Linked DNA regions of Macaca fascicularis. The protein of the gene in region 3 interacts with the protein of the main gene of each other region in a pairwise test. Links are inferred from orthologs where the notes say so. Each region holds a gene or a part of one and is shown on either strand. Other genes may lie near its edges.

Region 1 (3,421 bases), on a different chromosome or scaffold from region 3:
GTCAGCAGAACAGAGCTTATCAAACAATACCTTCTCTGGCCTTCCATTGAGCCCGCCTGAAGGTAACTGTCGTTCACAAAGCCACCAGCCAAGTAAATCAGAATTTACTTGATGCAACTGACTTGTAATAGCCAGAAATCCTGTGCAACAATAGATCTAAAATTACAGACATAAAGTATATGTGTATAATAATTCCTTGACAGTAAAAGTGATAAAACTACTCAAATTATTAAAACACCACTTTATATTTTAAGGTTTTCTTCTCGATCTGACACTTAAAATTCCAAACACGTATTAATACCACTTATCTGAACAAATCCAAACATAGTGTTACTAGTATGCAATTCTGTACTGAAATATTACTGTCAAAATTTCTTCATGGTTAGTAAATCGCAGCCATTCACATATTCAATGTTCTCTGACACAAGAAAGGAGGTTCATCATTTATCTCAGGGCAGAAAGAAAAATGTGTGTGTTTTTTTTATCTGTATGGTTAGTGAAAAATTAGTGGAAAAAAATGTGTTTTGGTGCTTACAAACCTACTTATGTTTGCTTAGGTCAGAGGGATCCACTGACAGAGAAAGGTATATAGTATATAGTATATAAAGCAAAGCAATGAAAGCAACTAAGCAATTCTTAAGATGCCATATTACAGTCATTAACTTTATGTGTATTTGACAAACACCGAAATAACCCATTTTCCTATTTTACTACACTTGCTTCCAAAATGACAATAAATTTTCATCTGTGTTAATACATTACCTGCCCAGCATGGGATTCAGAACCTGGTCTGCAACCAAATCCACCATCAAAGTTCATACAGGATAAAACAAATTCAATTGCCTTTTCCACATTAATAGCATCAAGCTTCCCCTACAAACAGAAAAAAACAAACAAACAAAAAAAAACCTGTTAAATTCCAGAGTATTCAGCAGATCAGACAAAAAAAAAAAAAAATCCAGAGCATTCATGAACTTTAATCATTTCAAATATTCAAAGCTTACCAACAAAGCCAAAGTTGCCACCGCACAAAAAGAGAATCTTGTATCAATTTCTCCTACAATAAAAAGAGATCAAATCAAGGCAGGAGTTACCAAATCATACATGAGTCATCTAAAAACAAACTCTGCACAACTACTACTTTAAATTGAGTTCAAGCTTTACTTTTTTTTAACCCTAAAGTAAAAACTTTAGGGTAGTCAGGAAGAAAGCTAAATCTGAAGTGCCTTTACTTCCCAAGAAAATTCCTTTGTCAAAAATAACAGCAAATTGACCAGGCACAGTAGCTCTTGCCTATAATCCCAACACTTTGGGAGGCTGATGCGGGAGAATCACTTGAGCCTAGGAGTTTGAGACTAGCCTAGGCAACATAGCAGGACCCCATCTCTACAAAAAACTTTTTAAAAAAATTAGCTGGGGCTGGGCACTGTGGCTCAGGCCTGAAATCCCAGCACTTTTGGCAGCCGAGGCAGGAGGATCACATGAGGCCAGAAGACCCCATCTCTACTAAAAATACAAAAGCCAGCCAGGTGTTGTGGTGCATGTCTCAGCTACTCTGGAGGCTGAGGCAGGAGAACTGCTTGAGCTTGGGAGGAGGAGGTTGCAGTGAGCCAAGATTGCACCACTGCACTCCAGCCTGGGCAACAAAGCTCTGCAACCCCAGCAACTCTGCCTCCTCCCACCAAAAAATAAACAAACAAACAAACAAATAGCTGCCTGTGATAGTATGAGCCTATACAGTCCCAGCTACTCAGGAGGCTGAGGCCTGAGGATCATGAGCGTGGACTGTCAAGGCTGCAGTGGGCAGTAACTGCACCACTGCACTCCAGCCTGGACAGAGCAAGACCCTGCCACAAAAAAGTCACAGCAAATTATCTTAAGCTGCTTAAAGAATGCCCAGAAAGAGAAGAAAACTAATAGAACCAAAAGTATTAGGCAATTTCTAATAATGCAATAAACTTACCCTACCTTATAAAAGCAGATTTTTCACATCCCATGAAGCAGCTGGTCTCTCTGGCCTGCACTGTGTTCATCCCTAAAGCAGAGATTATCTACATTTATCAAATACAATTCTATTCCCTCCCTCCACTCAAATATTCAGCAAGTTTGTAAAGTTTTTTTAAAATTTTTTTCCCTTTCCAGCAAGTAGTTTTTAAAAAACTTTACAAAGCCACCAAATATTGGGGAAAAAAAATTCCACCTACCTTATCTTTTAGACTGGCCCCCTCTGTTCCAGTGCTCCTGTATGCTGATATAACTACCACAGTGCATGCTGGAAGTTCCAGCAGACCATTAACTCCAGTTAGACCAGCTGCTTAGTGGGACCTGAAAAGATGAAAAACTTATAAACTGGTTACTAGCAAAACCAGTACACTTTAATATTGGTATTTTGGGTAGAATGGACTAAATCTGACATTACCCCAAATATCTCCAGCAAAAGAACCATCTTCTTTCTGTAGACCTTTAACATATTCCACAACTTTATTTACGTCGATAACATTAATACTGTCATACAGTGTAAGAATCTGCAATAAAGACAAGTATTAGGTAAATACCCCTTTCAGGTTTATTCTAATCTTATGCTCAACTCTTTTTAAGTTGCCAAGCGCTCCTTTTGTCTCTGTATATAGCCTTTTCTCAAATATGCAGACTCTCCTATTATTCAATAAAATTACAGATATTATCAAAACTCAAATCTTTAAAGTATAATTTTTCTACATATAAACTTTAACTTGGCATTCCAAGATACTCAAATGTACTAACTCACATACACACAAAGTCCTGATCTTCCCATCTCAGCACCCAGCACCAGAAAGACTTTAAACCAGGTAGATGTTCACTAATACCAAAATCAAACAGATCCACTTAGCTATTTAACAGTATTTACACATACTGAAGATAAAAATTTTACCCTGCAAGGTCTCAGTGTAATTTTAGAAACTCACATCAACTTTGGATTCAGCTAATACATGCCATTACATCATTGACCTTGTAGGACAGCTTCACTTGTAACAAAACTTTTTGACCAAATCCTAATAGTTTCAATTTCCAACTCTGAAGTAAGAGAACACACTATCAAGATCATTGCAATTTTAATTAGTATTTACCTGGACAGCACTAAGAGTGTATAAAAGATGAGGATCATGTCCGATACTAGCACTTATTCCACCACATTCGTGTTGGCAAGACTTAATAAATGCCAGAATCTCTTCTCTATTCATGCGATGAAGTTGTCCCATGAGATCCATTACTGTCAGACCCCAATAGATGCCACTCATTCTTAAATACTCAGACATACAGTATTCCTAAAATAATACACAATTCTTAAATGTGTCAATTTGAACTGAAAACAGGTTATAAAGAGATCAAACACAAAGGTAACTTATTAGCCATGCTGCTATTTTTACCTCTCCTGACCTTA
Region 2 (4,332 bases), on a different chromosome or scaffold from region 3:
AGGCATGAGCCACCGGCCTTTTTTTGCATTTAAATCGCACCTCCAGGGGTTAGGAAGCTGTATGCAGTGGTGGTTACTTGTGTAGGTCGAGGCATGGCACTACACAACCTCTTGGGCCTGAGCTTCCCCTTGTTAAATTGGAATAACAATGAAGACGCCTTCCTCATAGGGCTGTCCCAAAAACACCACGAAGAAACTCAGGCAGAGTCCTCAGGGAGTGCCTGATCCCACATACGGAGCACCCAGGGGTTGCCCTCTTCATCCCAGAGTCACAGTTCCCACAGTTTCCTGGACTCTGCCCCTTCCCAAAATATCACAGGCCGCTAACACAGCACTACCTTCTGTCACACCCTAGTCCTGGTGGGCTAGGATGGGGGAGATATTAACAGCCAACTTTAAAATCAGACAGAAAAAAAGGTGCTATGGAGACAGGAAGTAATAATTGACTCCAGCTTGGGCAGGGCAGGCTGGGAATAGGAAGTAGATTGGGGTCTTGTTTAGGTAAGAGAAAGACTTCAGTGGCAGACAAAGGAGGAGTAATAAGATCGCTAGGGGGCCCGTGCCCAGCCAATCCACGCATATTCTCACTTAGGCCTTGCAATACCCCCAAGGCGGGTGCTAGGATCACATCCTTTACGGACGCGGAACCTGGGACAGGGATGCGCGAGTAGTCAGGGGGCCTCGCTAGATCGAACCTAAGCTGGGGAAGAGTATTTCTTGTATTTTTAGTAGAAATTCTCAGCCTCGGGGAAGAGTATTTCTTGATGAGGGAAGAGCACGGGGAAGACACTCACGCGCGCACAAACATGTGGGCGGCCGTGGTGTGCCCAGCGCCGTGCTGGCTTCTGGGGACTCCCAGTGTACAAGACGGATAAGGTACCCGGATGGGAAGTGGGAGCCAGTCACAAGCGCACCTAATTTCGGAGAGTGACAAGCACTCTGAAAAGAAAGAACGTAGGGCTGGGGAGGGGACTGGCCAATTTAAGCGGGCAGGAGTCTGTTGGGGGACGGAGACTAGCCTCAGGTCTAGGCCCGTCTTGGGTTGGGGACAGAAGCTGTGCCTAAGTGTGGTGCAGGATGCAACTGCAAAGGAGCGCTTCCGAACGCACTTGATGCTCGCCACGTCCCTGCAAAGTGCTCCCGCCCCCACTCTGTAGATAAGGAAACGCGACGCGCTGCTCGCCGGGCCAGGTGGGGGTGGGACGCTGACTCCCAGCCCAAGGCCTCCCCTGCGCCCCCGATTGCGCCTGCGCTGGAGTCCCCGGGGGCGTGGCCTCCCTGGTGGGCGGGACCGTGACCACCCAGGTGGGCGGTGCCAGTGGCTCTGGCGGCGGGGTTGGGCGCGCGTCCTGGCTCCGCCCTCTCCCGGGGAAGGGCCTCCGGCGGCGGCTTGGCCGTTGGTTTCGGGACGGAACGTTCACGCGGCGGGGGCGGGCGCGCGGGGGAAGGGTTTGCGGCGGCGCCGCTGCCGGCTAACGCGGAGGGGCGCCTGGAGGCGGCGTGGCGTCCGCTCGGGCTCCGACTCCGGTTCTGGCTCTGGCTCTGGCTCTCGCTTCTAGCTCGCGTGCCCGCGCAGTCCCCTCCCCGAGAACCATCCCCTTGCCCCGCCCAGCGTGAGGGGCGCGCGGCCGCCGAGAGACCCCGGAGGCGTAGCCGGCCGCGGAGGTGAAGAGTCGGGAGCGCGAGCTGGGACCAGCGTCTCGGAGGCGCCGCAGGTGAGGGGGCGGGGCGGGCCCGCGGGCATCTTCCTCAGGATCCGCCTCGGCCCCGGGGCCACCCCCAAGACTCCCTCTCAGCTCTTCCCCTGGAGCCCCTGCCCCCGAGACCCCCTCAGGATCCGTCTGCCCCTCCAGGCCCGCGAACCCTGAAACTCCCAAGATTTTCTCTGGACTCCGAGACCCCCTGAGGACCCCGGCCGCTAGTGGGCCCTGAGAACTGTTGGTTCCGGAAACTCTCGAGGTTCCCTTGAGACTTGCTTCCAGCAGCCTCCTCAGAAGCCCCCAGGCCCGGGGCATCTTCCTGGGGGGAGCCGTGGGTCCCAGTGTCCTTAGCCCCGCTAGACCTCGGGCCCCCGTGCCGCCCACCCTGAGGCTCCCTCTCCGACCTGATCTCAGGGCTAGGTGTCTCCAACTTGAGGTCCCTGGACCTGCCGGGCGTGGGTGGAAGTGTTCCTAGGGCTGGTGATAACTTAAGATGGTAACAGCGCGCCCGACGACCACCTCCTAAGCTGCGGTCCCCGCGCCTACAGGTGCAGGGCCGGGTTTAACTTTAAATGCTCTGCTGAGACTCAGGTGACCGCACAGGACAGTCTATAGATCAGGAGACCTGAAGTGGCCGAGGGCGGCTGAACCGGGGAGGGAGTGAGTTAGGGCACATGGGGACGCTTTTAGGTTGTTTACTCCTCTTAATGTTTTCATTTAAGGAACTTTTTTTTTTTTTTTTTTTGAATGCCTGATAGGCTTCAGGAATTGACACTGGAAATAGAGATGACACGGTCCCTGATGTCAGGGCCTAGGGACCCCGGGGCATAAGACAAGTAGGTCGGTTTTACCTGGAGGAAGCTGTGTCGCCGCTGACAGGGAACCCATCTGGGTGGGCATGGGACTCTGGGAAGGGGTGGGATTCTGGGGAAGGAGTGGGTGTTAAGGAGGGCGTTTAGGAGTCGTGGGGAGGAGGTGCTAAGTAGCAGGTGAGCTGATTCTTGAAGGTTGAGCTAGAGAAGTTTGCCAGGGTCGTTCCAGGCAAAGTTCCAGGGGACAGCCAGTATGTCACAAGGCAGAGAGGCTCTGCCATGGCACAGCACACAGTGTTGGAAGGCGGGAGGTGTGGCTGGAGCGCACCTAATGAAGGTGGCGTGGGAGTGAATGCTAACTGCAGAGAACCCAGCTTTGCACCCGGAGGCCCACCGTGCCCTTGGCCCTTTCTTGAACGACTGCCCCTGCCATTGTCCCGAGAAATGATCCAGCTGAGCTGAAGGAAGGTGGGAGGTGGCCGGGGGGAGAAGTGAGGGAAGTGTCTCAGTAGAGACCTGGAATGGGAGAAGCTGGCACTTTCGCAGAGTGCTGGGTTTGAGGTGGGAGCGACAAGGAGGAGGATGTGATTCTGAGAGCCAGTCAGGACCAAAGCATGCCCAGTTTAAGCTGAGTGGAGGGTTTGGTACTTCAAGGGAGTGGGTGACCATTGAAGGGCTTCGGGAGCAGAGGGGCGGGAGTTGGTGTGTTTTTCAAAGATCCATATGGCTGTGCTGGGGAGACTTTTTTGGAGGAAGCAAGACCCTATAAGAGATGGGGGTGACCTGGACCAAGGCGGTGGTAGTGGGGGACTGTGGCTTCCTGGAACAGGGCTAAGCTTCTGAAAGCCCGGGCGCAGAAGACTGGTTCCTCCTCTTTCCTGTCTGAGCCTGGGGACTGAACTTTTAAGTGAGGTTTTTGTCCTATTACCATAGGGCCTGTGGTCGTCTTAGTGCTTCAGGGTGACTGTGTGCATCACCATAGACTAATGACCACACAGGATGCAGTGGGGTAGGGTGAGTAGAGGTTGAGTCTCTGAGGTGGGCCAGGACCATGCTGGGCTAGGAGTCCTGAAGAGAACCCGTGTGTGGAAAAAACACCCAACGTGCTTTTTCTATTCTCTCACTCAACAACAATCAACAGAGTTGTCTTCTGTGACCAAATGTGGGGAGAGGTTTCTCCCTACCACTAAGTGGCCAATCGTTTGTGCAAGAGACGCCAACTGGGTATCTTCCAATTCAGTTCTGACACTGTCTACCTGGAGATAGCATCAAATCCCACAAGTTAAGGGCTCAGTCCCCAAGACTGCCCTCCACCCCTTTGGACACCAGTCACAAGCCTGGGCCTCTGGAACTTCTGATCCATCAGCTTCAAGTTGGGGTTCCCATGACCCTTCCTTAGGTTTGATTAATTTGCCGGTTGCGGTGGCTCATGCCTGTAATCCTAGCACTTTGGGAGGCTGAGGTGGGTGGATCACCTGAGGTCAGAAGTTTGAGACCAGCCTGGCCAACATGGCAGAACCCCATCTCTACTAAAAATACAAAAAATTAGCTGGGCATGGTGGTGCGCACCTGTAATCCCAGCTACTCAGGAGGCTGAGGCACGAGAATCCCTTGAACCTGGAAGGCTGAGGTTGCAGTGAGCAGAGATTGTGACACTGCATTCCAGCCTGGGAGATAGAGCAAGACTTTGTCTCAAAAAAAAAAAAAAAACAAAAACATTGCTGTAGAACAGCTCACAAACACTCATGTTTACTGGTTTGTTATAAAAGATATTGCAAAGGACACAGATGAGAAGATGAATAGGGTGAGGCGTGGGGGAT
Region 3 (3,645 bases):
CACATACACATAAAAACATGTATAGTAAAACCCATATACACAAAAACACATAAAGTAGAAATGATGCAGCGTTTCAGGGCTTTCTTTTTAACCTGACTGGAAGAGAGGACAGAACAGGCATTCATTGCTTTTGATGCCACCTAGAATTTGTTTTTTTTTTTTTGAAATGGAGTTTTGGAGTTTTGCTCGTTACCCAGGCTGGAGTGTAATGGCATTATCTTGGCTCACTGCAACCTCCGCCTCCTGGGTTCAGGAGATTCTCCTGCCTCAGCCTCCCAAGTAGCTGGAACTACAGGCATGTACCACCATGCCCGGCTAATTTTGCATTTTTAGTAGAAACGGGGTTTTGCCATGTGGGACAGGATAGTCTCGAACTCCTGATCCACTCCACCTGCCTCGGCCTCCCAAAGTGCTGGATTACAGGTGGGAGCCACTGCGCCCAGCTGAATTTGGATTTTTACTCTTCTCTTTGAAAATGAGATGAAGCTGGGAGCGGTGGGTCAAGCCTGTAATCCCAGCACTTTGGGAGGCTGAGCCAGGTGGATCACCTGAGATCAGGAGTTCGAGACCAGCCTGGCCAATGTGGTCAAACTCTGTCTCTAGCAAAAAACAAAAATTCTTGGGCATGGTGGCATGCACCTATAGTCCCAGCTACTCGAGAGGCTGAGGTGGGAGAATTGCTTGAACCCAGGAGGCGGAAGCTGCAGTGAGCCAAGATCACACCGCCGCACTCCGGCCTGGGTGACAGAATGAGACCCTTCTCAAAAAGAAAAAAAAAAAGAAGATGAAATAAAAATCTTAAAGACAGGCCGGGTATAGTGGTTCACACCTGTAATCCCAGCAGTCTGGGAGGCCGAAGCCGGCAGATCACCCTGAGGTCAGGAGCTCAAGACTGGTCTGGCTAACATGGTGAAACCTCGTCTCTAGTAAAAATACAAAAAATTAGCCAGGCATAGTGGCGAGGGCCTGTAATCCCAGCTACTCAGGAAGCTGAGGCAGGAGAATCGTTTGAACCTGAGAGGTCAAGGTTGTGGTGAGCGAAGATCGCCGCACCACTGCACTCCAGCCTGGGCAACAAGAGTGAAACTCCATCTCAAAAAAATAAAAAAAGAGGAATGGGGAAGGCAGAAGAACCTTTCTGGACTTTGCTTGGTAAGAGGGCAAGGCATAGCGATATCTCCGTTCTTGCCAGAGTTACTGGCCTCCCCATCCACACGGATGCACTCCCCATCCATTCTTCAGACACTCAGACATATGTGCACTAAACCCACCCTCAACAGACCCCAAATCCCTACCACTCTCCAGTGCAGGCCCACAGCCTCCTTCCCGCTAATCACAACGACAGAGGACCGCCCTGGAAGGCAGGGGCACCGGCACCAACACTGCAGCCGGAGGGACCAGCCACAGGGCCCGGCTCTGTCTTCCAAGCCCACTCACCAGAGGTCTGCTACCTAACTCTTCACCACCCAACGGGGAACAGAACAGCACCCCTGCACCCTCCCAGAGCTGCTGTGAGGATCAGATCAGCCAACACACATACGGCACTGAGCGGTGCCTGGCACCGAACTGCAGCTCCATGTCAATCACTTATCACCATGTTATGGTCACTATTGCTACAGGCATGCAAGAACAAGGTGTGCATTCGACAGCTTAAGAATCCAGCGTTAGCATCTCATACCTGACACTCAGACATTGCCATGGTTTTGTACGGAAAAGAATCAGACGCTTACTGTCATCAGTTAAAGCAAAATAGCTGCCAGACTTGGAGAAGGTGGACGCCAGAATCACACCGCTCCCCTGGTCCAAGGGCGCGTCCTCCCTGAGGAAGAGAGGAAGACAGTTAAGCTTCTGCTAAGGAAATAAGAATGCATTCCCCCATGGCCAGCATGGTAATTTCTAACACGGGAGGAGGTAGAAACTGTTAAGGGGTTCATGTAGCCAAATTACAGACATACTAAAAGGACATGGGGAGGTTCCAAACAGCTCTAATTTTATCAGCGTGAAGACTAACTAAAGAGAAAATCTCCCAGCATACATGCCAGAACCCAGAGAGCTAAGCTGGAAGAACTCTCAAAGACACATGACCCTCTTCCTCACGGGCCAGGACTAACCCAAGGCTAGAGGCAGGGATAAACTCACACTAAAAATACTAGTAACAGGCCCGGTGTGGTAGCTCACACCTATAATCTCAGCACTATGGGAGGACAAGGCGAGAGGATCGCTTAAGTTCAGGAGCTCAAGCCCAGCCTGGGCAACATGGCGAAACCACGTCTCTACAAAAAACTACAAAAACTAGGCAGCCTGGGCGCAGTGCCTCACGCCTGTAATCCCAGCACTTTGGGAGACCGAGGAGGGTGGATCACGAGGTCAGGAGATGGAGACCATCCTGGCTAACACAGTGAAACCCCATCTCTACTAAAAATACAAAAAAGCCGGGCGCGGTGGCTCAAGCCTGTAATCCCAGCACTTTGGGAGGCCGAGACGGGCGGATCACGAGGTCAGGAGATCGAGACCATCCTGGCTAACACGGTGAAACCCCATCTCTACTAAAAATACAAGAAAATTAGCCGGGCGAGGTGGCAGGCGCCTGTAGTCCCAGCTACTCCGGAGGCTGAGGCAGGAGAATGGCGTGAACCCGGGTGGGGTGGAGCTTGCAGTGAGCCGAGATCGCGCCACTGCACTCCAGCCTGGGGCACAGAGCAAGACTCCGTCTCAAAAAAAAAAAGAAAACAAAAAACAAAAAAAACTAGCCAGGTGTGGTGGCAGGTGCTTGTAGTCCCAGCTACTCCAGAGGCTGAAGCAGGAGAATGGCGTGAACCCAGGAGGCAGAGCTTGCAGTGAGCTGAGATCGCGCCACTGCACTCCAGCCTGGGCGACAGAGCAAGACTCTGTCTAAAAAAAACAAAAAAAAGGTATGTGATTACTGACAGAAACTAAAAGTATTCAGAAAAGTCCTAACACTGTGTTTTTGTTTTTGTTTTTTTGAGACGGAGTCTCGCTGTGTCACCCAGGTTGGAGTGCAGTGGCGTGATCTCGGCTGACTGCAACCTGTCTCCCAGGTTCAAGTGATTCTCCTGTCTCAGTCTCCTCCTCAGTAGCTGGAACTACAGGTGCCTGCCACCATGCCTGGCTAATCTTTTTATTTTTAGTTGAGATGGAGTTTCACGACATTGGCCAGGCTGGCTTCGAACTTCTGAACTCAGTGATCCTCCCACCTTGGCCTCCCACAGTGCTGAGGTTATAGGCATGAGTCACCGCACCTGGCACTAACACTGTACTCTTTTTTGTTGTTGTTGTTGTTGTTGGAGACGGAGTCTTGCTCTATTCCCCAAGCTGGAATGCAATGGCGCAATCTTGGCTCACTGCAACCTCCACCTTCCAGGTTCAAGAGATTCTCGTGCCTCAGCCTCCCAAGTAGATGGGATTACAGGTGCCTGCCACCACGTCCAGCTAACTTATTTTTAGTAGAGACAGGGTTTCGCCATGTTGGCCAGGATGGTCTGGAACTTCTGACCTCAGGTGATTCATCCTCCTTGGCCTCCCAAAGTGCTGGGATTACAGGCATAAACCACCACGCCTGGCCAACAATGTACTCTTAATGCCTAACTTGAAAGTTACTTTTACGTGTCTCTGCTGAGGTGGTAC

Evidence for each region.
Region 1: the proteins of WDR4 (region 3) and RABGGTB interact in binary tests that used the Homo sapiens proteins (3 or more experiments, as listed by UniProt). The two-hybrid records come from large-scale screens. The link is inferred for Macaca fascicularis from reciprocal best matches to the Homo sapiens genes WDR4 and RABGGTB.
Region 2: the proteins of WDR4 (region 3) and FAM118A interact in binary tests that used the Homo sapiens proteins (3 or more experiments, as listed by UniProt). The two-hybrid records come from large-scale screens. The link is inferred for Macaca fascicularis from reciprocal best matches to the Homo sapiens genes WDR4 and FAM118A.

The regions. Positions count from the first base shown.
Region 1 is NC_088375.1:158,877,080-158,880,500, forward strand, and holds part of RABGGTB (geranylgeranyl transferase type-2 subunit beta), read right to left. Parts: intron 3,306-3,421; coding exon 3,108-3,305; intron 2,990-3,107; exon of another isoform or gene 2,917-2,989; intron 2,526-2,916; coding exon 2,420-2,525; intron 1,058-2,419; coding exon 1,005-1,057; intron 874-1,004; coding exon 763-873; intron 157-762; coding exon 31-156; intron 1-30. UniProt on the Homo sapiens protein: Catalyzes the transfer of a geranylgeranyl moiety from geranylgeranyl diphosphate to both cysteines of Rab proteins with the C-terminal sequence -XXCC, -XCXC and -CCXX, such as RAB1A, RAB3A, RAB5A and RAB7A.
Region 2 is NC_088384.1:6,273,664-6,277,995, reverse strand, and holds the start of FAM118A (protein FAM118A), read left to right. Parts: upstream 1-1,405; 5' UTR 1,406-1,715; intron 1,716-4,332.
Region 3 is NC_088377.1:4,158,270-4,161,914, reverse strand, and holds part of WDR4 (tRNA (guanine-N(7)-)-methyltransferase non-catalytic subunit WDR4), read right to left. Parts: intron 1,820-3,645; coding exon 1,679-1,819; intron 1-1,678. UniProt on the Homo sapiens protein: Non-catalytic component of the METTL1-WDR4 methyltransferase complex required for the formation of N(7)-methylguanine in a subset of RNA species, such as tRNAs, mRNAs and microRNAs (miRNAs).